Arabidopsis thaliana: one gene and its partners. The protein of the gene in region 1 purifies or fractionates together with the protein of each later gene. This does not show direct contact. Each region holds a gene or a part of one and is shown in the gene's direction. Other genes may lie near its edges. The genes, in order: AT3G62510, AXS2 and AXS1.

Region 1 (6,585 bases):
TAGAATGTTAGCATGTTATTAATCATATATTGATTATCTTACCGTGTTAAGACAAATCTTATTTTGATATTTAAAATGTTAGCATATCATTATTCTACGGTAATTATTGTTATAATCGTTGTGTAATATGATATTTTATCATATTTTATTGTTTTGATATATTTATATATATAAATAAAAATACTAATTCATAATTTTGAATTGATAAACATTTATTTAACATATAATATGTAAATTTACTATGTTAGCTTGTTAAACAAATAATTATATATTTATTTTCAAATATTAAAGTTATTTTTTATCGATGGTATTTTTGTAATTAATCTAAAAAGAAGGATTTTTTGGTTTATAATTTATTTTTCTTTCTTATTAACTTAAATAACAAATTTGTACGTACACATTCTTATTTTTTTGTTCATCCATATATATATTTTGAACTCACCCTTGTTTTTAAGTAATGTAAAATGGAGTTGAAAAAATGAATAACTGTTTATAAATTTTCATCTTAAATGATTTTTTTTTTTACTTTTCAAATTATACCTTTAGGAACCCAACCATTTGCACCCTAATATCATATGAATATTGACAACAAAGACTACATGAATTTAAAATTTTCAACTTGCAGAATTGTAAAGATGAGAATTTGCACTCGTTAATGACGTTCCTTTCTTTTTGAATCTTATTTTGTTAATTCTTTTTTTTCTATCTTTGATTTTTTGTATCTAAAAAATCTCTAAACGAAAACGTTGCATCTGATGTACCATAGTTTTTTCGAGTAAATTTTAAATTTTATTAAAAAAAAAATGAGAATTATTAGATAAACAAAGGTTCCGTGATATAAACCCAATTAATAAAAGAAACAACTTAGGCACAATATATAGCCTAAGAAGCTTTTTTAATTTTTTTTTTTAAAGAAGAAAAGAGAGAGAATTGTTCAATTGATGCGCGACGTCGGATTTGATGAAAAGGAAGTTTTCGACTTGGCGCCTACAACTACTTTTGTAGGCCTGAAAATTCACAGTCTTCCCTCATCAGAACACAATATCTTTCTCCTCCTCTTTTGTCTTCCTTCGCCGTCGATTTTAAGGTTTTATCTTCTCCGTAGTGAAAGCACTGATAATTTCTCCAAGGAATTTACGAGGAGGATTTGGTTTGTTTCTCCTGCGTGTTAGAGTTTTACGATTTCTCTGTCGTTTGATTTCTTAATTCTATCCTCTGAGAGAACGAGAATTTGGTTTTCGTTTTCGAATTTAGGGTTGAAGAAGCGGTTTCGCATTGGGTTTGTTGTCTATTGAGCCAATTTGCTAAAGGAATTGAAACGTTGCGAGTTTTTGTTTCCCGGAGGTCCGAAGTGCGAATCTGTTTTGTTTAATGAAATTAGGGGTTTGGAATCGGAATTTGAATAGTCGTTTATGTTGACTACGCGATAATAGCTGAGATAGGACATGATTTTGAAACGGATTTTGACGACATTCGATAATCTGAATCTGAAGCGGTGCAAAATTGATTTAGAAATTGAGTATGGTAGCCAAAAGGGTGAGATTATGGTGTATAAGAAGAGACAACGAGCAAGCGTTGATCAACCATGTAGCAGAGAACCCGGAGTTCTAACAAGTAGCTCAAGCTCCTTGACCAGTAGAGAAGAATCTCAACAAGTGTGCTCTGACCAGTCCAAGTCTTCGCGTGGCAGAGTTCGAGCGGTTCCTTCAAGGTTCAGGGACTCCATTGTTGGTACATGGAAATCCTTGAAGAGTCGCAAGGAAGAGTCGACGGAGACATGTATCTGGGGAAGCTCGAAATTGCATCGAAGCAAAGACCCGAAGCTGTTTCCACGTAAGGATAACGAAGACAGCAGCGAAGTAGATTGCGATTACTGGGATGCTAACTTTGGTATGCCGAAAAAGTCCGACGCCTCGCGTAAGGGCGTGTACAAACCAGAGGAATTTACAGTCGGCGATCTTGTCTGGGCCGGCTGTGGTACAAGCGCCTGATGGGGTCTTGAAACATTGCGTCCCTGGCGCAATACGTGTCATGTTTTTTGGGTACTCTAAATGGAAAAAAATTGTCAATTGTCAAAAAGTCGTGTTAAATATAGATGTATTGTACAGATCTTTGACTTTGAAGTACTTCATTTGCTGATCACAGCCTCATCTTTATCTGTTTTTTTTACACTGTAATTATAGATTGGATGCCGATTGGTGCCTTTGTGCTTGATTCTCGAACTTCACTCCTGACTGAGAGTTTGAGTGGTCGCCTGAAAGTCCCAAAGGAAGGAACCATAGAACGGATGTTACAAAAATGTCTTATTCATGATCTTCAGAAACTTTGTCAACTGCAGGAAAAACTGTAACATATGGCTTATCTCATTTTCCAGATTTACAGCTTGTGCGACCTGTTTGTGACCTCAGTACCTGTGAGGTAAAAGACACTAATCAACTCTAATCTGTTGCTGAAACTTTTGTATTGATCTCTTGCAATAACTAAATTGCAACTAAGAGTGTTTCTGTTTTACTATGTAGGAACAATGCAAACTCTTGATGCTAGGCACATTGAACTCTTCCTTAGTGAAGGCTACAAAGATGGAAGCTGGGACTACAATCTGATTGGATCTCATAAGTTGCAGAAAAACGCAAGTGCAGCTTGTGGAGCCATATTTGACCTCAAACACCATAAAGAATCTTCATCCTCAGGTAACTTCAAATCTTCATTACTGTTATGTTCCTTTACTTCTCCTCTTTGAATCATTCTCCTTTGTCTCATACAAATTTCACATGAAACCTCTATAATAGGTATTCTCAACCTCAAGTCTTGGACCGGACAGCCAGATATTTCCCAACCTAAAGCAGTTATCGCACCCCATGCAGTTGCTGTTCACACAAGATTGCGAGAAAACGAAGGTATATAACTTTGCATCATCAACCATCTTTATCTAGAAAACACAATTACAAATAATTCTCTTGCCAAAAGGAATTGAATCCAAATTTGTTGTTTCAGTTGCGGAAATCCAATCAGTATTGTGGCATTTGCAAGAGAGTATGGCAGCCCTTCAAATGATGGAGATTGGGTGAGAATATATGTGACCATGTTTGGTGAAATACAGACCTGTAAGAAATGATTACATCTATTTAGCTGACTTGATTTGATGTATTAGGTTTATTGTGATGAGTGTGATGTATGGCCGTATGGGTGCGACAATAATTTATATAAGCGCTTTAAGGTACACCTTCATGCATCTTAACTTTTGATTCTAAGTAATGAACACGCTTGTTGAACTATCACACTAATTTGGTTATCATCTTAAGGAACTGGAGCACAACAGTTACTATTGCCCTAACTGTAAAGTCCAGCATGAGCTTATCAATATTAGAAGAACAGAACTCAGTGTTCAAGTATATTGTTAACTTCTCATGTTCTCCTGATTTTATTGTTTGCATTTCTCCATTGCTATAATATGCGAGATTTCCTCACAACCTCTTTGGGATTGGTCTACAGAAAAGGCGACACAGACTGAGCTGCCTGATGAGATTAATGTAGTCTGTAATGGCATGGAAGGAACATATATCAGAGCATTTCATGCGTACGTATTAGATGTCTCAGCCTTATTTCAATTTCTTCATTTAGAAAGGATCTTATTTGTTTATGAATTATGACTATGCAGCACAATATCGTAAATTGATTTTTTCTCTGAAAACGATAAAAAATCCGTGTTTAATCCTAGGTTTCTGTTATCATTGTCTTGTTGTTTTAGAGATTTGACCAACACATTAATCTTTGAACTATTGTTTCAGAATTGAGTGCAAGTGTGGTTCATGTGGGTCAAGGAAGCAGTCACCAAGTGAATGGGAACGGCATACAGGCTGTAGATACTAGATAGCGTAAGAGTGAAAGACACAATGCTACCTCTAGAAAAATGGCTTTGCATGAAGACTTTGATACTATATGTATCTGTATATGTAGAAGAGTATCAGTTTTATCTAAATGACTAGTCTCCAAATTTGTGGTTTATTGATTTCGTCAGAATGGTAGGCTCTTTAACTGATTTAAGGTGAAAACTACATTGGTCTTTGTTCAGTGTTAGATTTGTCTTTTGTGGGTTTGGAATGGATTAAAGAGGAGTCTTTTACTGGATTTTGTTGAATGCTAGATTTGGGTTTAGTAAACAATGAATCCTTTACTGGTTTTGAAGGATGTTATATTTGAAACTGATTAGAGCTAAACCCTCTATTGCTTAGTGGTTCTTAATTTAAGGGTTTTGCCGCAGCTTCCCTAATTTAAGCTTGTTTTCTAATACAAAGTACAAAAGCAGTGTGTTCGTCAACTATCTTCTTACTCTGTTTTCGTTTAGAGAGTTTTTGCAGAGATGAGGAGAACTATAACAATGGTGATAAAGATGTCAATACTTATGATATTGATTTCATCAATGGTGATGAATATGGTCGAGGTTGAGGTTGACCAGATTGAATCATGGGTCAAGGACTTCCAGGTTTCATTCTCTTTTTCACACATTCACACAAGCTTTATGTAAAAGAAGTATATATGAAATCAATATAACCTAACCAAAGAAAATGTTTTCTCTAGGATGGAAAAGCTGCTGTCCACAAAAATTCTCAACCTATTCCAGCTGAGAACAACGAACCAGTGAAGCTTGTTGTCGCCGAGAGCCTTGACGACATAGTTCAGGTCAGCGAGCGGAAACGTTGTAGTATACGAAGGAGACAGGACAAAGGAAGACTTCATAGTTCAGGGTTGGTGATACTAGCAGAAGATGATGAGGAAGAACACGAAAAGATGGATTAGTTAAAGCTTCCAAAAACTGAATCAAAACAATCATTATTACATTAGTTTGTGGTTGTGGATTAGCAATGTTTAAGTAGTTTGATCTATCAATCTCCTGAATTTCTAGATTGCAGATATTTTATCTCATTTTGCTGTCTCACTTGATTCGTGGGTTATATTGCTTAATTTGATTTAAACTCTGTTTTGTGTGGTTACATAGGACTCTGTTTCGCCTGTGTATAGGAAGAGAGTAATGACGTTGAGTGTACAGAGTTGGAGAAGGGTTTCGAGAAAAAATTGTAATTCTTGAATTCGTCTCAGCTTGAGAATAGTGAGTCCATGGACTTTTACCGGATATGAGTTGTACAATGCAGAGACTGATCCCGAACTGAAAGCTGTTATGAGAGGACATGGGAAAAGCCATTGGCTTCGTTTGACCGGAAAGAATTTATGAGTAGTAAGTAGCATATCTAAAGTAAACGCCATGCAAACAAAGAAAACAATGATGAAGATATAAGAGCATCCACATTGGTGGGCTTTTAGCAAATGTTCTTAACAATAATTTTATAATTTATTTTGAAGTTAAGAGTTTTGATAAGAGTTTTTTTTTTTTAAGAGTGTATTTTGTCTCTTATATAAGAGCAAAATCTTAGGCCTGGGCATTTTAACCGAACCGAACCGAACCGACCCGACTCAACCGAACTCAAACCGATCCAAACCAAACCCAATCTAAGACTCAAACAATTCGGTTGTATTTTATCTCAACCCAAATGGGTCGGTTCGGTTCGGTTTTGAACCAAACCGAACCGACAACCCAATGTCTTTATATACTTAATTAATTAATTCTATAAATAATATTACAAATAACTCTAAATATTTATTTATCTCTAACTAAAACTCTAACCCTAAAAAGTAAAAACCTAAGGTTTACTTCTAACTTCGTTTCATTTGTTCTTCCGTCGTCTCTCTCTACTCTCTACAGCCACGGTATGATTTTTAACTACTCTCTAGCAATACAATTACGCTCATCTCAATTTTAGTTAAATATTATGAGTATATGATGATTTTTTCAATCTGTACGTACACCGCAAAGTCATGGAAAAGAAAAATCTGTGTTTGCGTTGTCTTGTTTCTTCTATTTACTTAGATTTTTTAATTTTTAAGAATAGGTTTCATGTAGGTTGGGTGATTTTGTTTGTTTACAATATATATAATATATTTTAGCATTCATACCAATAATCAATGGATTTTCGTGCAAGAAAACAGATCATACATGTTTATTTAGTTTACTAATAATGAAAGATGTTTTAATAGAAACGTAATTGTATTCTTTCAATTGACTAACAATTTTATACATGTTTTGTTTGTAGATGTCTAAAAGAAACACGACTAGCAATAAAAGAAAAGAACCCGAGTCTCCAACAGTGTCGCCAAAGGCAAAAAGAAAACTACCTACAAGATCAACAGCATGGAAAGTCTTTACGAGGTTGAAAGATGATGATAATAGTTGCTCATGCAATTATTGTGGTAAAATCTATTCATGTAATCCTGCTACATGTGGAACCAGCAATATGAACACACACATGAGAAAGTGCAAAGCTTATTTGGATCATCTTGAATCTAATTCTCAGAATGTCATAGTCTCTAGTGGTGGTGGTAATGGTGCTGGCATGATAAAACCTTTTGATCAAAACGTGTGTAGGCAAGCAACGGTGAAAATGATTATCATGGACGAGTTGTCGTTTTCTTTTGTGGAGAATGATGGGTTTAAACATTTTTGTGAGATGGCTGTCCCTTGGTTTACTATTC
Region 2 (8,845 bases), on another chromosome or scaffold:
GCAGTTTTTCATCAGGGAACATTTTGGATTATAAATAAATGAACCTTCTAGACTGTTGTCTCATCATGTGTTCAATTACGAATTTAGAGATATTTGACTCTTGTTCCCATTCCTATTTATAGAATCTTGCTGTTATTTACAGGCTTTACTACACAAAGGTTAAACTTGGGACACCACCAAGAGAATTTAATGTTCAAATTGACACTGGAAGTGATGTTTTGTGGGTTAGCTGCACTTCCTGCAATGGCTGCCCCAAGACTAGCGAACTCCAAGTATGTTTCTTGCTAACTTTCCTCTATAGCATATTAGCTTTTAAAACATTTTCCTCATGGTCTTGGTTTTAGCTTTATGATTTGTCTAAATGATCACTTGTTTTCCCTGTATTTTGTGTTTTTTTTTTTTGGATTTTCAGATTCAACTAAGTTTCTTTGATCCTGGAGTGTCATCCTCAGCTTCATTAGTTTCATGTTCAGACAGGAGATGTTACTCAAATTTCCAGACAGAATCAGGCTGTTCTCCCAACAATCTCTGTTCCTATTCGTTTAAGTACGGTGATGGAAGTGGCACTTCTGGTTACTACATCTCAGATTTCATGTCCTTTGATACTGTTATTACCAGTACCTTGGCTATAAATTCCTCTGCTCCCTTTGTTTTTGGGTAAGCTAACAGCAAAGAATTGTGTATTTACGTGGGGTTTATATATATGTACATATCCCATAGGTTTTATCTTGCATTTGGAATCCCCTTTCGATAATGATGATTTCTTTAGTATGGTGCATTGCCTTCTCTAAATTTAACTAATGACTGCATCTTCGGGGGGGAGAAAATGTTGGCCAAATGAGAAACAATATTTCTGCCTATCAAATACACTCATTAGTTTTATGTTTAAGTAATTAACATCTACCAGGAAGTACAATATGATCTAACTTCCAAATCATCTTTTCTGTACTGTTTCAACTTTCAAAATATGTGATGCTTGTCTTCAATATTGCTAACAGGTGTAGCAATTTACAATCTGGAGATTTACAGAGGCCTAGAAGAGCAGTAGATGGCATCTTTGGGTTAGGACAAGGGAGTTTATCAGTAATTTCTCAGCTTGCTGTGCAAGGACTCGCGCCACGAGTATTCTCGCATTGTCTGAAGGGAGATAAAAGCGGTGGAGGTATAATGGTTCTAGGTCAAATCAAGAGGCCAGATACCGTCTATACTCCTCTTGTTCCATCACAGTGAGTTCTCAATCTTTCTATTATACATTTAAACTCTTATCATATTACGTAAAGAGAAGCACAGGTAGATTTTGGGGTACTTAACATCATGATGAATCAGACTTCAATGTTAGGGTAGGATTCCTAGATTTATTTTTGTATAAGACAAGGAGGTAGATCCAGGGTTTAACTGATGATTATGAAAGTCATTTACACAGATATAAATGCGAGAGTTGTTACAATATCTGCTATATCATTCTGCTTGTAGGAATCATATGATCCAGAAATAGACATTTTGTAGCTGACTCTATGGAAATAATATGCAGTTCGTATATCTTGGGTTAGGAAAATCAAAATATATAAACCCACGTCTTGATTCAGATAATATGCTGCAAAAAAATATTTCAGGCCACATTATAATGTGAACCTGCAGAGCATTGCTGTGAACGGTCAGATATTACCGATTGATCCATCTGTTTTCACAATAGCCACTGGTGATGGAACGATAATTGATACGGGAACGACTCTTGCTTATCTTCCCGACGAAGCTTATAGTCCATTCATCCAAGCTGTGAGTGTTTTTTTCTTCCTCAGTTCACCTTCAGCTTTTTCAGTCACCAAACCGTGTATACCATATTCAGTAGTTTTTGCCATTGTTGAAAGTATCTGTCCTCAAATGTTACATTTTTGGAATGAAATTACAATTCGATGTAGACGATATATGTTATTAGACCTTACAAAAAAGAAGATTTATAAAACGTTCAACCTGCAGGTTGCAAATGCTGTTTCGCAGTACGGGCGTCCCATTACCTATGAGAGTTACCAATGCTTTGAAATCACAGCTGGGTAAAGTTCTTCTCATGTGTATGTATATATAAGAAGCTATTATCTCCTATGCTTAAGTGCTAAAAAGATCTCCATGTTGCAGTGACGTTGATGTCTTTCCCCAAGTTAGTTTGAGCTTTGCTGGTGGTGCATCAATGGTCTTAGGACCCCGTGCATATCTTCAGATTTTTTCTAGTGTAAGCATATTCATACACTTACACTACTTCATAAATTGTCTTTTAGTGTGTCAATGATAAGCTTTGAAAAAGTTTAGCTGCTCAACTCTTAGCTATACGTCTACTATATCTAGCCTAAGACTGTATCTAGCAGATTAGAGGTGTTAGGGGTTTGTAAGCGAGCCGTTAGTGAGGGCTGGGACGTTGGGTTTATAAGGATGTCTCAACAGATTGTTTTGGGTGTGGATTTCTCTTAAGGTTTACAGTTTGAAAAATTTGATATGATAATTTTTCTTTTGCTATTTCAGTCAGGAAGTTCAATATGGTGCATTGGTTTCCAGAGAATGTCTCATCGTCGTATAACAATTCTTGGTGGTAACTACTCTTGTTTGTTAACTCAATCAAGTGAAACTGTAACAGTGCAGCTATTTTTCTCAATGAGTGATTGCTTTGCAGATTTGGTTCTTAAAGACAAAGTGGTGGTCTACGATCTAGTTCGCCAACGTATTGGATGGGCAGAATACGACTGTGAGTGTGTTATCTATTTTACCACAGAGCAATAACGAAATTGGAATACAAATGCAGATAATGAAATTCCATTCCAGGTTCTCTGGAGGTGAATGTTTCAGCATCAAGAGGAGGACGAAGCAAAGACGTTATAAACACAGGACAATGGAGAGAAAGCGGTTCGGAGAGTTTTAATAGAAGTTATTACTTGTTACAACTAGTAGTCTTCCTTGTCCACCTTTTTGCTCGTTTCTTGTAGTAGCTTTTAGCATTCACTCCACCAATTATGGTTGGACTTTGTAAGCTTATATTATTGTAATTTAATCACACTAATTAATTCTTACTTACCCACCCACCACTTCTCTCGTTTCTCTGTTTAATCAACCTCCTATCTACCACTAAGGCCACCGACGAATTAGCACAATTTTACATGTCGGTGTAAAGCAACAAACATACCCAAAAAAAAATTGAAACTATATACTGTAGTTGTAATCTACTAGTTTTAAAATAGATTTCACGTGAACAATCAGCAGATTCATAATAATTGACTTAAGAGAGAATATGACACGTAACGAAAACATTAATTTCACGTGGTGGGAGTAATGTGCAAGGCTGTGAGAGTGTAGGGAACATTATTATACGCCTTTAAATATCCATCTCTCATTTCTTTCTTTCTTTTCTCCCATTCTCACAAATCTCTCTTCCACCCATTGTTATCTCTGTAGAAGCGTGAGAGAGATCACGCGTGTTCACCGACACAATCAAAATATGGCGAACGGAGCCGATAGATTGGATCTGGACGGTAAACCGATTAAGCCGATGACGATATGCATGATCGGTGCCGGAGGTTTCATTGGCTCTCATCTCTGTGAGAAGCTTATGACGGAGACTCCTCACAAGGTTCTTGCGCTTGATGTTTACAATGATAAGATCAAGCACTTGCTTGAGCCTGATACCGTTCAATGGGCTGGTCGGATCCAGTTTCATCGTATCAACATTAAGCATGATTCTAGACTTGAAGGACTGATCAAGATGGCAGATCTGGTATTTGTTCTTCGTTTCTTCTTAGTAAATCGTTAATGTGAAAATGTTGAATGTGAAGACTCAGATCTGATTCGTTATGTGAAATCGAATTTCGAATTGTGGATGTCTTGTTTAATTAATCTGTTGTTGTTGTTTTGGATTTTGCAGACGATAAATCTAGCTGCGATCTGTACTCCAGCAGATTACAATACGCGTCCTCTTGACACTATCTACAGCAATTTCATTGATGCTCTCCCAGTGGTATGTATTTTATGCTTTTGCAGTTTGTTTGGTTTAGTGGAGCAATTTTGTAAGTTTGAGGAATATTTTTATGTGATACGGATTTTAGTTGTGACATTGAGTGGTCATTGGTTTTGGTATGTAGGTTAAATACTGCTCAGAGAACAACAAGCGTCTGATTCACTTTTCCACTTGTGAAGTGTATGGAAAAACTATAGGAAGCTTTCTTCCAAAGGATCATCCTCTGCGTCAGGTCAGTATTTTTCTCCCTTTTTCACTCTGATCATTTCATTTGTCTTATGCATCACTTTTTGCTGATTGTCGTTATCAAGAGGATCAGGAAACTATGTTAATTATGTACATTGGCACACTCACTTAAGATTGATACGGAAATTTATATACTAATGCAGTTATTGTTGTTATATGAAGTCTTGTTTACTGATCTAAAGAGTAACGTAAACTTGTTATAATAAGCCTATCACTATCCACTTTAATAGTGTTTGTAATATCGAGAAAATGTAGTTTGTTTTCCTGCAATTACCTGAGTATGGCTTTGAGCCCTAACTACTGCATGAGAGTCTTTTGTTTTACTTTTTGCCTTACTTTCTTATGTCAAGTAGATATTCGTTCGTGTCACGTGGTTCTTATTACTACTTTTGTCTCTGTGTTTTGTTATTATTTCACTACTCACCAATGATGCTCGTCTTGTTTACTACAGGATCCTGAATTTTATGTACTCAAAGAAGATATATCCCCTTGCATCTTTGGTTCAATTGAGAAGCAGAGGTGGTCATATGCTTGTGCAAAGCAACTTATTGAGAGACTTGTTTACGGTATGTAGTTTTCTTACACGAAAGAAATTTTTTGTTTCTAGACACAAAAAAGTTTCTCACGTCACTTTTTTCTGGTTGCAGCTGAGGGTGCTGAGAATGGACTCGAGTTCACCATTGTAAGACCATTCAACTGGATTGGACCTAGGATGGATTTCATCCCTGGCATTGATGGTCCTAGCGAGGGTGTCCCACGGGTTCTAGCGTGCTTTAGTAACGTAAGTATACAGGCTTAGTCCAATGACCTGAGTTCTTCTCATGGCTGCAGCTTAACTTTTTTGTTTAACTTTTTGGTGGGTATTTTCAGAATCTTCTGCGACGGGAGCCTCTCAAGCTTGTGGATGGTGGAGAATCACAGAGAACCTTCATCTACATCAAAGATGCTATCGAAGCTGTCCTTTTGATGATCGTGAGTTTCATTCATTGCTTATCCCTGGTGATATATCGTTTGTTTTTATATTATTAAAGAAGTTGCATCTGAATTGCTTGCGGAATTCTTTACCAGGAAAATCCAGAGAGAGCCAATGGGCATATCTTCAATGTAGGCAACCCAAACAATGAAGTGACAGTGAGACAACTTGCTGAAATGATGACTGAGGTGAGAAAAATTGGTCATAGATAAGAATCTGAGTGATTTTCGATAAAACTATTATAGCACACGCTCAAATGTTGCAAAACAAAAAATGGACAGGTCTACGCCAAAGTGAGTGGAGAGACAGCTATCGAGAGTCCAACGATCGACGTGAGCTCCAAAGAGTTTTATGGAGAAGGTTATGATGACAGCGACAAGAGAATCCCAGACATGACCATCATCAACCGTCAACTTGGTAACTTCCTCTTTTCTTGTCTGATTAGTCTTTTCTAACAGTCACAATGTTTTTCTAATAAATACTCTGGTGTGGACAATAATTAGGATGGAACCCGAAGACGTCGCTTTGGGACTTGCTTGAATCGACCTTAACATACCAGCACACGACTTATGCGGAAGCCATTAAGAAGGCCACTTCAAAACCAGTCGCATCTTAGAGGTCGTCTCTCTTTACAAACACCTCAAATCATGTGGTGGCTACGATTCCATTCTTTCTTTTTAAAAAAAAAATTCTCCCAACAGAAACCTTCTCTTCCCTTATTTTAGGCCATTCTAAACAAATGATATATCATGGTGGTTGATTCTAGTTTACGTTTTCCTTGTTATATAGTATTACTGTTAATGTTTTTGAATTCCTTTGTTTTGAAGCTTTATATCTTGTATTTGTCCGAAACTAAAAAGGGAATGGTTTGTGCAAACTATAACATTGGGGCTTTCTTTATATGTTACATATCTTTGGCGGATTCCACACTTCACTTCTATATCTGCCTGGTTGTAATAAACGAGTTAGTTTGGCTTTTGCTCGTGTTGCTGTGTTATGTGAATATATACCTTAATTAGAAATGCCTAAGGTCTGTCTTTTTTTTTTGCCGTCTAAACATTTTTATTAGAAACATAGAATAAAATAGTACTACAAAAACAGAGCATTACAGCTCAAGAAGAAAAACAGAGCATAGGTGCTCATACACTTATAGAAAATTATTTACAAAATTTGTTTCCCAATCTATATTTCAGAAAAAAAACGTACTCATAGGAAACGGTGAATTAGCTATCATGTATTTAAAAAAAAAAAAAAAAGATGACAAGATCGCCGACCAAAACAAAAATAAGATCATAAGATCAAAGAACAAGAGAGCTGTCACATATATTTTACTCTCTGCTAAACGACAAACAACAAGAAGCAGTACACTGAAAATGGAATTATCGGAAATGACGATTTTTTTGTAGATCGAGGACAGAGGAGCCAAAAAAAAAAATGTAAATGTTTCAGGTATGGGCTTAGAAACTAAGCGTAAAGAGAAGGAAGAGAAACAAACTTGGCCTTTGTAAAAAACTCAAAGTCAATTCAATCGTAACACTTGGCCACTCATCGGGAAATAATACAAAGGCACAAATTCTGGCACACATGTTTTCTCCATCTCTCGCCTTTCTCTTTTTGCTATATTTTAGAGAACTACAGAACAAACAATGAACATTTTCTTCTTTAAAAAAAAATATATATATGTTCGAAGCACACCAAAAATACTTCACAAACACATGCACAAAAGGGGTCGCTACCGAGCGGACGCAGCGGCGGCAGTAGTACATAATATGCACCGTAAACGCGACCGCCCAGGTCTGTCTCCATCACCATCCTCATCTTCTTCCTCATCCTCTTCCTCCTCATCCACACCGTTATCGTAGCTATATTCATACCCCGAAGAACCTTTGGTTGTCTTGTGATTGTTGTTACTGAAGGCTGCATCCATGAGGCACGTCTCGTGGTAAGCATGGCAGCAGAAGAAGACCACTACAGTGTCCCCTCTTATCGAGACCGGGTCGAAGCACATACAACACCGTGTGTCCCCCCGTGTCTTCGACTTCACTTCTGTCATCTTTATGCTCAAAGATTTATCTACTACCATTCTCTGCGAGAATGATGAGCGATTATTGTCTTCTCTCTTCGCACGGGAATCGTCGTCTTCATGGCTCAGGCAGACCCCACGCCTAGCCTCGTTGAAGCATTTGACCAGAAGATTAACAATATCCGTCTGTACAACAACCCCCACACGTCAAATTCCCTGGAGTCTGTTCCAGATATATATGATTAGAGGGACATTGGTGACATTAAATTTGTACCTTGAGAATGTCATTGCAACCGTGTCTAAGAGATGTCTCAGTTCTGTAATCTGTTACGATTTTGACCAATCGATCCCTTAATCTGAAAGCAGAAGAAACAATGAGGAGAACATTATTTTGATGAAAAGTGTTCAGGAAGCATATGATTCTGCCAATGCTCTGTGTGCGAACTTAGCTTTGGGTAAACCAACAGGTTTGGCATCACATAGATGAGGGTCGATGTTTATTTAAGTAAGAACACGTGATTGAACCAACTCATGAATAGAGTAACAGCAATGAGGGGTAATAGTTAAAACTAACCGAGGTATTTCCAAGCCATTTGGGACCATATTTACAATGTAAAGAGGGTCGAGGTTGCCAACTGTGTGCTCCAACAGCAAGCCCACCTAAAATTGGTGGAAAAGAACAGAAGATTAAGGAAACAGTACTACATGGACACAAGTTTCCCAGAATCAAGACTGGTTTGTGTTGTGATTTGCATCACAAATACAGCTTTTACCATCTCAGGCTTGTTTAGACATTGTTTAATCAGCTCTTCCCATAGATCATCATCGTGCTGCATGGACACAAATTCCACAGCCTGCAGAATATCAATCAAAGTCAACCACCATAGCTTGTTTTATTAATTACCAGTCAGAAAGACATCAATTAGAGTGTACAAGGGGTTGCGGAAAAAAGAGCAGTTACTGAACACACAGTAACAATCACCTCTTCTATATCTCCCAGTTTATTTATGATGACTGCAAGAGCTTGTTTTGCATTTCCCATCCTTCCCAGGACAAACACTTGCTCTCTTAAAAAATCTTTCTTGACACAAAGTTCATATGCCTGAGATATTGCAATAGATCAAGTTCACAAAGACATAACCCAGAGATAGTTCATTTCAGTAAGCTGGGTTGCTTGTAATGTTAAGTACCTTTTCTAACTTGTAATGTTGACTGCTACGTAGGAACGGAAGCAGCATCTTAGTATCGTATTCTGCATAGAGTTCTACCTACAATATGTAATCATTTTAAGAAAATATTTAAGCAAAAGAGAAAGAGAATGGAAAAATTCATTCCATATATCAAGTTAACTACACATACCTGCATATCATGAAAATCCTTCCCGGTATCATGACTAACTTCAAATAATGCATGCAGATATAAGTACAAGTAATATCTTGAATCACATTTTTTGCCAGCTTTCAGAACTTGTGGATTTTTGCCAGCCTTCAGAAGTTGTGGAACAACTTCAGATGGAGGAATCAAATCCCTATTTTGGATAAATAAGACAGTGGCACGCTTGCAATCAAGCAACATTAACTGGACCACCTACACAATTAGATAAGGA
Region 3 (8,352 bases), on another chromosome or scaffold:
ACGACTATTTGTATATAATTTGTTTGTATAATAAATGTTCAAATATAAATAAATAAAAACTCCAAAGAATAAATATAATTTCAGCTAATTATGATGATATTGATAGCTGACACAAATCATAATTCCCTCTTTAACTACACCATCTCAGGTTTTATGGCAGCTTCATTGGTTACGAGGTCTGATTTTTTTATTTTTACTGATGTTAGAAATACAAAAGCTACGGTATTAATGTTTGTTCTTATCATCTTTCGTTAAGCCCTTTGTCGTACGAAACCATTTTTTTAATTTGCTTTTTTATTAGGGTTTGAAATTTGAATAATGACAGTGATATTTGAAAATTTATTTGCATGATGACGACAATTGACAAAAGAAAAGTTTATTTGCATAATACCGCTTTTATCTACGTTGCAAAGGACTGATATGCATATAAACAAATTAATAGTTGTCTATCTTTTATTTGTTTTAAATATAGTAATAAAGATCGTTGTGTTTATTTGTTTTCTTTTACTTAGGTACTTGCAAATTACTTGATAGTTGATACAAGAAAAGATAGAAAATTCAACTTTTACATGTTCATGTTTTTAATAGTGGAACGATAGGCTAAACTTTTTTATCACGTAAATAAGGGTTACAAAGTAATTTTGTATGCTAATCCTTATTTGCATCTGTCAACATTCAAAATTCTTACATTTCAAATGGGATTATATAGTAAAGGGATTTGACTAATGACTAAATAATGTCTATGTAACGCGTTCAAAATGGTAATGGTAATATATATTAGTATATAGTAATAGAGTTGATGCAAGTAAAAAAAAATCACTAATGTGAGATAATTTTTCCTTTTTAGATACAAACGAGTTTGGAACGTGGTACGTATATGAACAGTCCATAACATAACGTGCCAAATAGAATAATCGATTTTGGCCGAATTAAGTTCATGGATGGTTACGATTGAGGTGTAAGTCGTAAAGCGGTTTTGGTAGAAAATCTTGTGGATTCGATTGGAGGATCAAGAGTATAGTCAAGACATTGAAATTGCATTAGAATTGTTCAAGAAATATACTAGAATGAAATAAAGTAAAATGAATTCTTTTATCTTCATGGGCTAGTACCTAGTAATACCAAAAGAAATGGTATTTTTGGAGAAATTAGAAATTGATCGTGTGCCATTTAGTTAAAGGAAGAAATACCAATTTTTCCAATCCAGTTTCAGGCCAATCCAACCCATTTTTAAAATTCTTAAATCTTTATTGTAGAACATGGTTTTATGTTGATCAAATAGTGGTGTCCGTATAACTTTTAAGTGATTTGCAATCATATTTGGGCTATATCTAAACCTGAGACTTTGAGCCGACCGGTTTATTCGATTTCGGTTTGTCAGTTTTGCAGATTATTCAGAAAACAAAACCTATCCCGAATCAAACTTATTCCACATTATTCAGTTCGTTCGATTCGGACACTCATATATATATATATATATTTTTATTGTTTTCTCCTTTTATTTGTTTGCATCTAACTAGTGTTCTTAATTTTCCTTTTCCATAAGAAAAAACTAGGAGTATGTTTAGTTGTATTTGTAATCTTTGGTATCATTTAGGTGTAACTTGGGATTTGGGAAAAATACATGATTCAAGTTTGGTTGGAACGTGTTGTATGATAATGAAGAAGCACTGAAGCATTGATCAGTCAAAATGCTCGGGAAAAGGATGATTATATGAATGTTGTTGCATAGGGTACAACTTTGTGATAAGAAACAAACAACCTCGCATTGTATTATTTATTGTATAGCGAGTAGGAAGTAGTACTATACGATACTTCTTCCTATAAAGTTATATATTTATAAAGGTATAAATAAATATATACCTACGAAAAGAAAAAGTAATTAAATTTGTAAATGGATTTGTGCAAAATCCAAATTTTAAAGAAAGGTATGGTTAGGATATTTGATGAGAGTTTCGAGGGTTTTGCTTCTCGGAAAGGTACCTAATTATTCATCATTTTTTCTCTTCTTTTTTTGTCTCAATCCTTTTTTGAAAAGACCAAAAAAAAAAAGCAACGAGAAATTAGCATCTTTTTTTCATCATATGTGTATGTATATCAATGATCGAACGGTCGTCAGCTCACTGTGAGGCAACACATGAATCCAATTAGTTCTCAAAATTTATCCATTATCCACAATTCCACATAATGGTTAGCGATATTCATATAAACTCTCTTCATAATGATTTTTTTGTTGAAAAAACTTCTGATACTACGACATGCAAATTAGAAGCAGTATTAAGAAACTTACTTTTTTTTTTGACACACTATTTAAGAAACTACTTAAGAGTTAAGAGTTAAGACTGAAGCTTAATTAAAATAACGTCAATAAAATCATATTTTGTTTAAATTATTTCCCTTTTTGGGCAAATAATTAAATTATTTCCTAACCAGTTTAAGTTTCGTAATGCAAAATGGAATCTCTAATGTTGCTGGGTCAAGTTTTCTTCTACGTAGAAAAGACTTTTTGTATTGATTCCCCAAAGCCATTCTTCTCAATGTAAATTTGATTTTATCAGAAATAATAACCCAAAAAAAATACTCCAAATGTCTTTTCAATATAAAAATTAATAATTTGACTTGATATCAATCGGAAATTACAAGAGAGTATGGGAAGTCGTGGTACCGGAGAGAGTGCGGCTCTTCCTATGGCTTGGAATGCAGCAAGTTCTGATGACGAATGCTGAGAGGAGGAGGAGGCATCTAAGTGATTCGGACATTTGCCAAATCTGTAAAGGAGCTGAAAAAACAATCATACATATTCTTCGTGATTGTCCTGCTATGGAAGGCATTTGGATCCGCTTAGTTCCTGCGGGTAAGCGCCGAGAGTTCTTTACACAATCGTTATTGGAGTGGTTGTTTGCTAATCTGGGTGATAGGCGGAAGACTTGTGAGAGTACTTGGTCAACTTTATTTGCTTTGTCTATTTGGTGGGCCTGGAAATGGCGGTGTGGCAACATTTTTGGTGTTCAAGACAAATGTCGAGATCGGGTGCGTTTCTTAAAGGATCTGGCTAGGGAGACGTCCATGGCTCATGTGATAGTCAGGACACTGAGTGGGGGTCATGGAGAACGGGTGGAAAGACTGATCGCGTGGTCGAAACCCGAGGAAGGTTGGTGGAAACTTAATACGGATGGGGCTTCCAGAGGTAATCCGGGTTTAGCGTCTGCTGGTGGTGTGCTACGAGATGAGGAAGGAGCTTGGAGAGGAGGTTTTGCTCTGAACATTGGAGTTTGTTCAGCACCTTTGGCAGAGCTATGGGGAGTGTACTATGGCCTCTACATTGCTTGGGAGCGACGAGTCACACGGTTAGAGATTGAGGTGGACTCAGAGATTGTTGTGGGTTTTTTGAAGATAGGGATAAACGAGGTACATCCGCTGTCTTTCCTGGTACGATTGTGCCATGACTTCATATCAAGGGACTGGAGAGTCCGTATTTCACACGTTTATAGGGAAGCTAACCGTCTTGCTGACGGGTTAGCCAACTATGCATTTTCGTTACCATTAGGTTTTCATTCTCTTAGTTTGGTTCCGGATTCTTTACGTTTTATTTTGTTGGATGACACTAGTGGAGCTACGGTTTCACGTCAAGTGCGAATGTAATTTTCTTTTTCATTAATAAATCTTGGGAGACTTTGTCTCCCTTGGCTTACCCAAAAAAAAAAATCGAAAGTTACAAAGAACGATTTATCTAGTTAAAAAGAAGTTTTTTCTTAACTCTTAAACACAATTATTAGACTACTAAACATTCATAATTAATAATCATACAAAATGATTAGTCGAACAAATAAAATATCGCATCCTTTCCAATTTAAACGAGATCACGTGGAAGCGAGTACACACCACGCGCCGATACAGAGAGTGAGATTTCAAAATTCGACGAACCAATTTGCCTCCGTTCACATGCGATGCATCTTCTCTCTTAAATATCCACCGTCACCACTCTCTCTTCCTCTTTAGATTCTCTCTCTACAGAGAACTTGATTATTTTTTCTGATCTGAGAAAAAAAATGGCGAATGGAGCTAATAGAGTGGATCTCGACGGGAAACCGATACAACCGTTGACAATATGCATGATCGGCGCCGGAGGTTTCATCGGTTCACATCTCTGTGAAAAGCTCTTGACCGAGACGCCACATAAGGTGCTTGCGCTCGATGTTTACAACGATAAGATCAAACACTTGCTTGAGCCTGATACCGTTGAATGGAGTGGTCGGATCCAGTTTCATCGTATCAATATTAAGCATGATTCGAGACTTGAAGGTCTTGTTAAGATGGCGGATCTGGTAAAAATGCTTATCGATTTCGTTTTTTGATCTCTTGTTCTTCGGTGTTTATGATAGAAGTCTCAGATCTGATTCGTTATCGGAATTCAGATGTTTCGCAATGTATTGAGATCGGTGATGTTGTGATGTAATTCTGATGTTTCTTTTTGGATTCGCAGATTATAAATCTTGCTGCGATCTGTACTCCAGCTGATTACAATACACGTCCTCTTGATACTATCTACAGCAATTTCATTGATGCGCTTCCAGTTGTATGTGTTTTCTTCTTAGCTTCGTTCATTGTTTTGCTTTAGCTCTTGTTTTTGAAGTTGATGGAGACAGTGATGATTGTGTAATGCGTTGGTTTTGTTAGGTGAAATACTGTTCTGAGAACAACAAGCGTCTCATTCACTTTTCTACCTGTGAAGTTTATGGAAAAACCATTGGAAGCTTTCTTCCTAAGGATCATCCTCTGCGTGATGTAATGCCTTTTTGTACATTTCGCTTTCCACATGTTATTGTCTTTTTATCAATCTCATCGATGAATGTACTGAGGAACATGTTGAAGCTGACGTTTTCGTTCGTTTTAATAGCCACATTATGAATTACTCATTGGATCTCGTTAAACGTATTTTTGAATTGAATTAAGACTTTAGTCCGCTAGTCTATCACACACCCATAGAAGCTTGGAATAGTTGATATTATTCGTCTAAGGTTGGGTTCACTGTTTACTGATGTTGTTTGTTGTGCCTTTCTACAGGATCCTGCTTTCTATGTTCTTAAAGAAGATATTTCCCCTTGCATATTTGGTTCAATTGAGAAGCAGAGGTGGTCATATGCGTGTGCAAAGCAACTGATTGAGAGACTTGTTTACGGTAAGCATTTCTGTTTAAGATGATGTTGGTAAAAACAAAAGGTTTACACTTAACTTCACTTGTTTCTTGTGACAGCTGAGGGTGCTGAGAATGGGCTTGAGTTCACCATCGTACGACCTTTTAACTGGATTGGACCTAGGATGGATTTCATCCCCGGCATTGATGGTCCTAGCGAAGGTGTCCCACGTGTCCTTGCCTGCTTTAGTAACGTAAGTGTTCAAATCCAAGTATATAACCCAATGCTAGTCTGTGTATATATGCAAGCTTTTAGTTAATGCATCTCTATCTATCTTTCAGAATCTTCTACGTCGTGAGCCTCTCAAGCTTGTAGATGGTGGAGAATCACAGAGAACTTTCGTCTACATCAATGATGCTATTGAAGCTGTCCTTTTGATGATTGTACGTTCCATTGCCTGATATATAGCTTTTTGTTTACAAACTGTTAATGTTAGAAGTTCGAAGTAGTTTCAACTAAAACCTATAATGACATTGTATGTTTGTGGTTCAGGAAAACCCAGAGAGGGCAAATGGGCACATCTTCAACGTAGGCAACCCGAACAACGAAGTTACAGTAAGACAGCTCGCTGAAATGATGACCGAGGTGAGGAAGATGGATCAGTTAGGAAACTATGAAAATAGTTTGATTTCTCTGTCGCTGGTTCTCAATTCTCAAAACGAATCATGTTTCAGGTTTACGCAAAAGTGAGTGGAGAAGGAGCCATTGAGAGCCCAACGGTTGATGTTAGCTCCAAAGAGTTTTACGGGGAAGGTTATGATGACAGTGACAAGAGAATCCCAGACATGACCATCATTAACCGCCAACTCGGTAATTCTTCATAATCACCAACATGATAGATAATATGCTTTAAAATCAAAATCAATTGCTATTCTGATAGAATTTTGGACTTTGAAAATAGGATGGAACCCGAAAACATCGCTATGGGACTTGCTCGAGTCGACCTTAACCTACCAGCACAGGACATACGCTGAAGCTGTGAAGAAGGCAACATCCAAACCAGTGGCTTCCTAAACTCTCCAAGACCCCAACGAAACTCGTTAAACACGCGTCATTTTGGCATTTTACTCTATTCGATTCTATTTTTTTCATCCCAGAGAAAACTTTTTTTCTTTTTTCTTTTTAAGAAAACGATATAATCACGGTGGTTCGTTCCAAGTATACCTTTTCGTTTGTAAGTTTTCTCTTTTTGTTTGGTTTGTTTGGCCATGTATGTCGGAGCTGTCAGAAAGCAAGAGGTTAATCGTTTGTAGCGAATGATAAATGTTCGAGTGTATATTTTAAAATGCTTCGTTTTACATGTGTACAAGTACAAGAACAAATGTAATTATCTTCTGTCAAGTAACACATTGTGTTTCGTTCAGAAAAAAAACAAGTGGACTACAGAGTATGAAAGAAAGTCTAGTAGTTTTGGAACGCTCGACAATTAAATTCGATTTTATTTTTAAATTGTAATATATAAATCACAAGTAGCGTCTGTAGTCCAACGGTTAGGATAATTGCCTTCCAAGCAATAGACCCGGGTTCGACTCCCGGCAGACGCATTATCATTATTTTTATATTTTGAATTGTTTTCACTGAATTTTTAATTCAATGAAGGCAAAGCAAACTAGAAGAAAATGAGTCTTTTTTTCTTTCTTTCTAACTCATGTACATAAAATACATTGTTAGAGCATATTCTAGTTCAACTATTTCTGATTTAATATACTCCATCTACTTAGTATTGCGATCAAGATTAGATCATAACATATCGACATTGTATAGTACTTATCATGAATCAGCCAGCAACTTCGAAATTTTATGAACTTGAAAAGAGCAAAAATCATATTTCATTTAAACCCATTAACACTCCAAAATGACAACATAACATATATTATAATAATCCAAAAATTTTAAGATGCCAAAAGCCTCATAAGTCACTCAACGATTCACCAATACAGTCAAGTAAAAATTTCTATTGGAAAAATGTGACTTGGTGTGCAAATATCTTCTACTTTTTGCAAGAGGGACCACAAGGGAATGGGCATCTCTTCTTCCCTCCTGCACCAAAATGGTTTTAAACCAAATCAATAATCCACAATTCTCATCTCATATGCAAAGTTATCTTTATATATCTTAACTTTAGTTTTCGTTACCTGATGACTTGTTCTTCTTTCCACCTTTAGCTATCTCAAATGCACCATTTGGCATCTTTTTGCTCGGAGGAGCCACCTTTAAAGGTGCTTCAGCCTCTACATCTTCTTCATCTGAAGAGTCATCATCCTCGTCCAAACCCATCTAACCAAACATACAGAAAAAAACAACAAGATTACCTTTTTTTTTATACTGATTCATTGCTAATCAGTAAATACTTAAAAGAAAAATCTACCTCATCTGAGTCGGATTCATCATCTTCTTCAGGATTGATCTCATTTTGAGGCAAAGCAGCTTTTCAACAATGTCAAAGTTAGATTTCATAAGAGATACACATGTAAATATGACTACCACAAAGCAGTAGCTTAGTAAAAAAAGTAAACATACCAATTTGTTGTTCCATATATTCATCTAACTCAGAATCTACACAAACCAAAAAGCAAAAGATTAGCTTCAAGCTTCATAATAGAGTAAACCAAATCATCAACTAAAGAATTATAAACTCACCAGAATCAATCTCCTCATCCGTGAGCATCAGAAAAAAGCAGAGCAAAACAAAATCAAGGATAAACAAACAAAGCTTCAAAATTGCAAGTGAGTATGAATTTAACTAGAAAAAGACAATGAAAGAAAGGATATAGTTCGTCAAAAGCATCAAAGGTCCTGTAACCAATAAGATAGACACTGCTTGTACTGTTGTGAGAAATCTCAAACTCGTGCCCTAAGTAGAGATCAATAGAAAATTGAGGAAACTTCTGTGAGAGATTTCCAATCATAAACCCATTCTCATCATCACCAATCTTCACATAAACGGCAAAAGTCTCATCTTTTTTAACCTTCTCAACGTCACCAAGGGTAACCTAAGAGATGTTACAACAAGTAACACAATCAATATCAATCATGGATTTACACAAAGAGAGAAACTTGCAGGAATTACAAAACTGATACAGACCTGAGAGGCATGGACCATGAATCCATCTTTTTGTATCACCTTAAATGGCTTCCCTGGCTTAATCTCGATACC

Evidence for each region.
Region 2: the proteins of AT3G62510 (region 1) and AXS2 fractionate together in Arabidopsis thaliana (co-fractionation; one large-scale study listed by BioGRID). This does not show direct contact.
Region 3: the proteins of AT3G62510 (region 1) and AXS1 fractionate together in Arabidopsis thaliana (co-fractionation; one large-scale study listed by BioGRID). This does not show direct contact.

What each region holds. Positions count from the first base shown.
Region 1 is NC_003074.8:23,118,978-23,125,562, forward strand, and holds AT3G62510 (disulfide isomerase-like protein), read left to right. Parts: upstream 1-3,853; 5' UTR 3,854-3,875; exon of another isoform or gene 3,876-4,211; intron 4,212-4,358; 5' UTR 4,359-4,360; coding exon 4,361-4,483; intron 4,484-4,578; coding exon 4,579-4,797; 3' UTR 4,798-4,814; downstream 4,815-6,585. Other genes in the region: AT3G62499 (YTH family protein), read left to right, coding at 942-1,172; AT3G62500 (F-box protein RMF), read left to right, coding at 1,446-1,977, 2,184-2,300, 2,375-2,407, 2,520-2,690, 2,790-2,897, 2,995-3,064, 3,152-3,217, 3,303-3,389 and 1 more.
Region 2 is NC_003070.9:2,571,246-2,580,090, reverse strand, and holds AXS2 (UDP-D-apiose/UDP-D-xylose synthase 2), read left to right. Parts: upstream 1-3,246; 5' UTR 3,247-3,481; coding exon 3,482-3,757; intron 3,758-3,904; coding exon 3,905-3,997; intron 3,998-4,121; coding exon 4,122-4,229; intron 4,230-4,694; coding exon 4,695-4,809; intron 4,810-4,890; coding exon 4,891-5,024; intron 5,025-5,113; coding exon 5,114-5,215; intron 5,216-5,311; coding exon 5,312-5,404; intron 5,405-5,497; coding exon 5,498-5,633; intron 5,634-5,719; coding exon 5,720-5,832; 3' UTR 5,833-6,273; downstream 6,274-8,845. Other genes in the region: AT1G08210 (Eukaryotic aspartyl protease family protein), read left to right, coding at 143-272, 413-657, 999-1,226, 1,614-1,776, 1,978-2,051, 2,134-2,227, 2,515-2,581, 2,663-2,734 and 1 more; VPS41 (vacuolar protein sorting 41), read right to left, coding at 6,949-7,425, 7,514-7,595, 7,814-7,899, 8,013-8,093, 8,222-8,341, 8,430-8,507, 8,599-8,826. UniProt on the Arabidopsis thaliana protein: Together with AXS1, catalyzes the conversion of UDP-D-glucuronate into a mixture of UDP-D-apiose (UDP-Api) as the main product and UDP-D-xylose to a lesser extent, via a cycle of oxidation and reduction.
Region 3 is NC_003071.7:11,862,541-11,870,892, reverse strand, and holds AXS1 (UDP-D-apiose/UDP-D-xylose synthase 1), read left to right. Parts: upstream 1-3,894; 5' UTR 3,895-4,049; coding exon 4,050-4,325; intron 4,326-4,483; coding exon 4,484-4,576; intron 4,577-4,677; coding exon 4,678-4,785; intron 4,786-5,064; coding exon 5,065-5,179; intron 5,180-5,254; coding exon 5,255-5,388; intron 5,389-5,476; coding exon 5,477-5,578; intron 5,579-5,687; coding exon 5,688-5,780; intron 5,781-5,869; coding exon 5,870-6,005; intron 6,006-6,096; coding exon 6,097-6,209; 3' UTR 6,210-6,616; downstream 6,617-8,352. Other genes in the region: HDT4 (histone deacetylase-related / HD-like protein), read right to left, coding at 7,186-7,235, 7,331-7,472, 7,564-7,622, 7,716-7,751, 7,836-7,855, 7,968-8,188, 8,281-8,351. UniProt on the Arabidopsis thaliana protein: Together with AXS2, catalyzes the conversion of UDP-D-glucuronate into a mixture of UDP-D-apiose (UDP-Api) as the main product and UDP-D-xylose to a lesser extent, via a cycle of oxidation and reduction.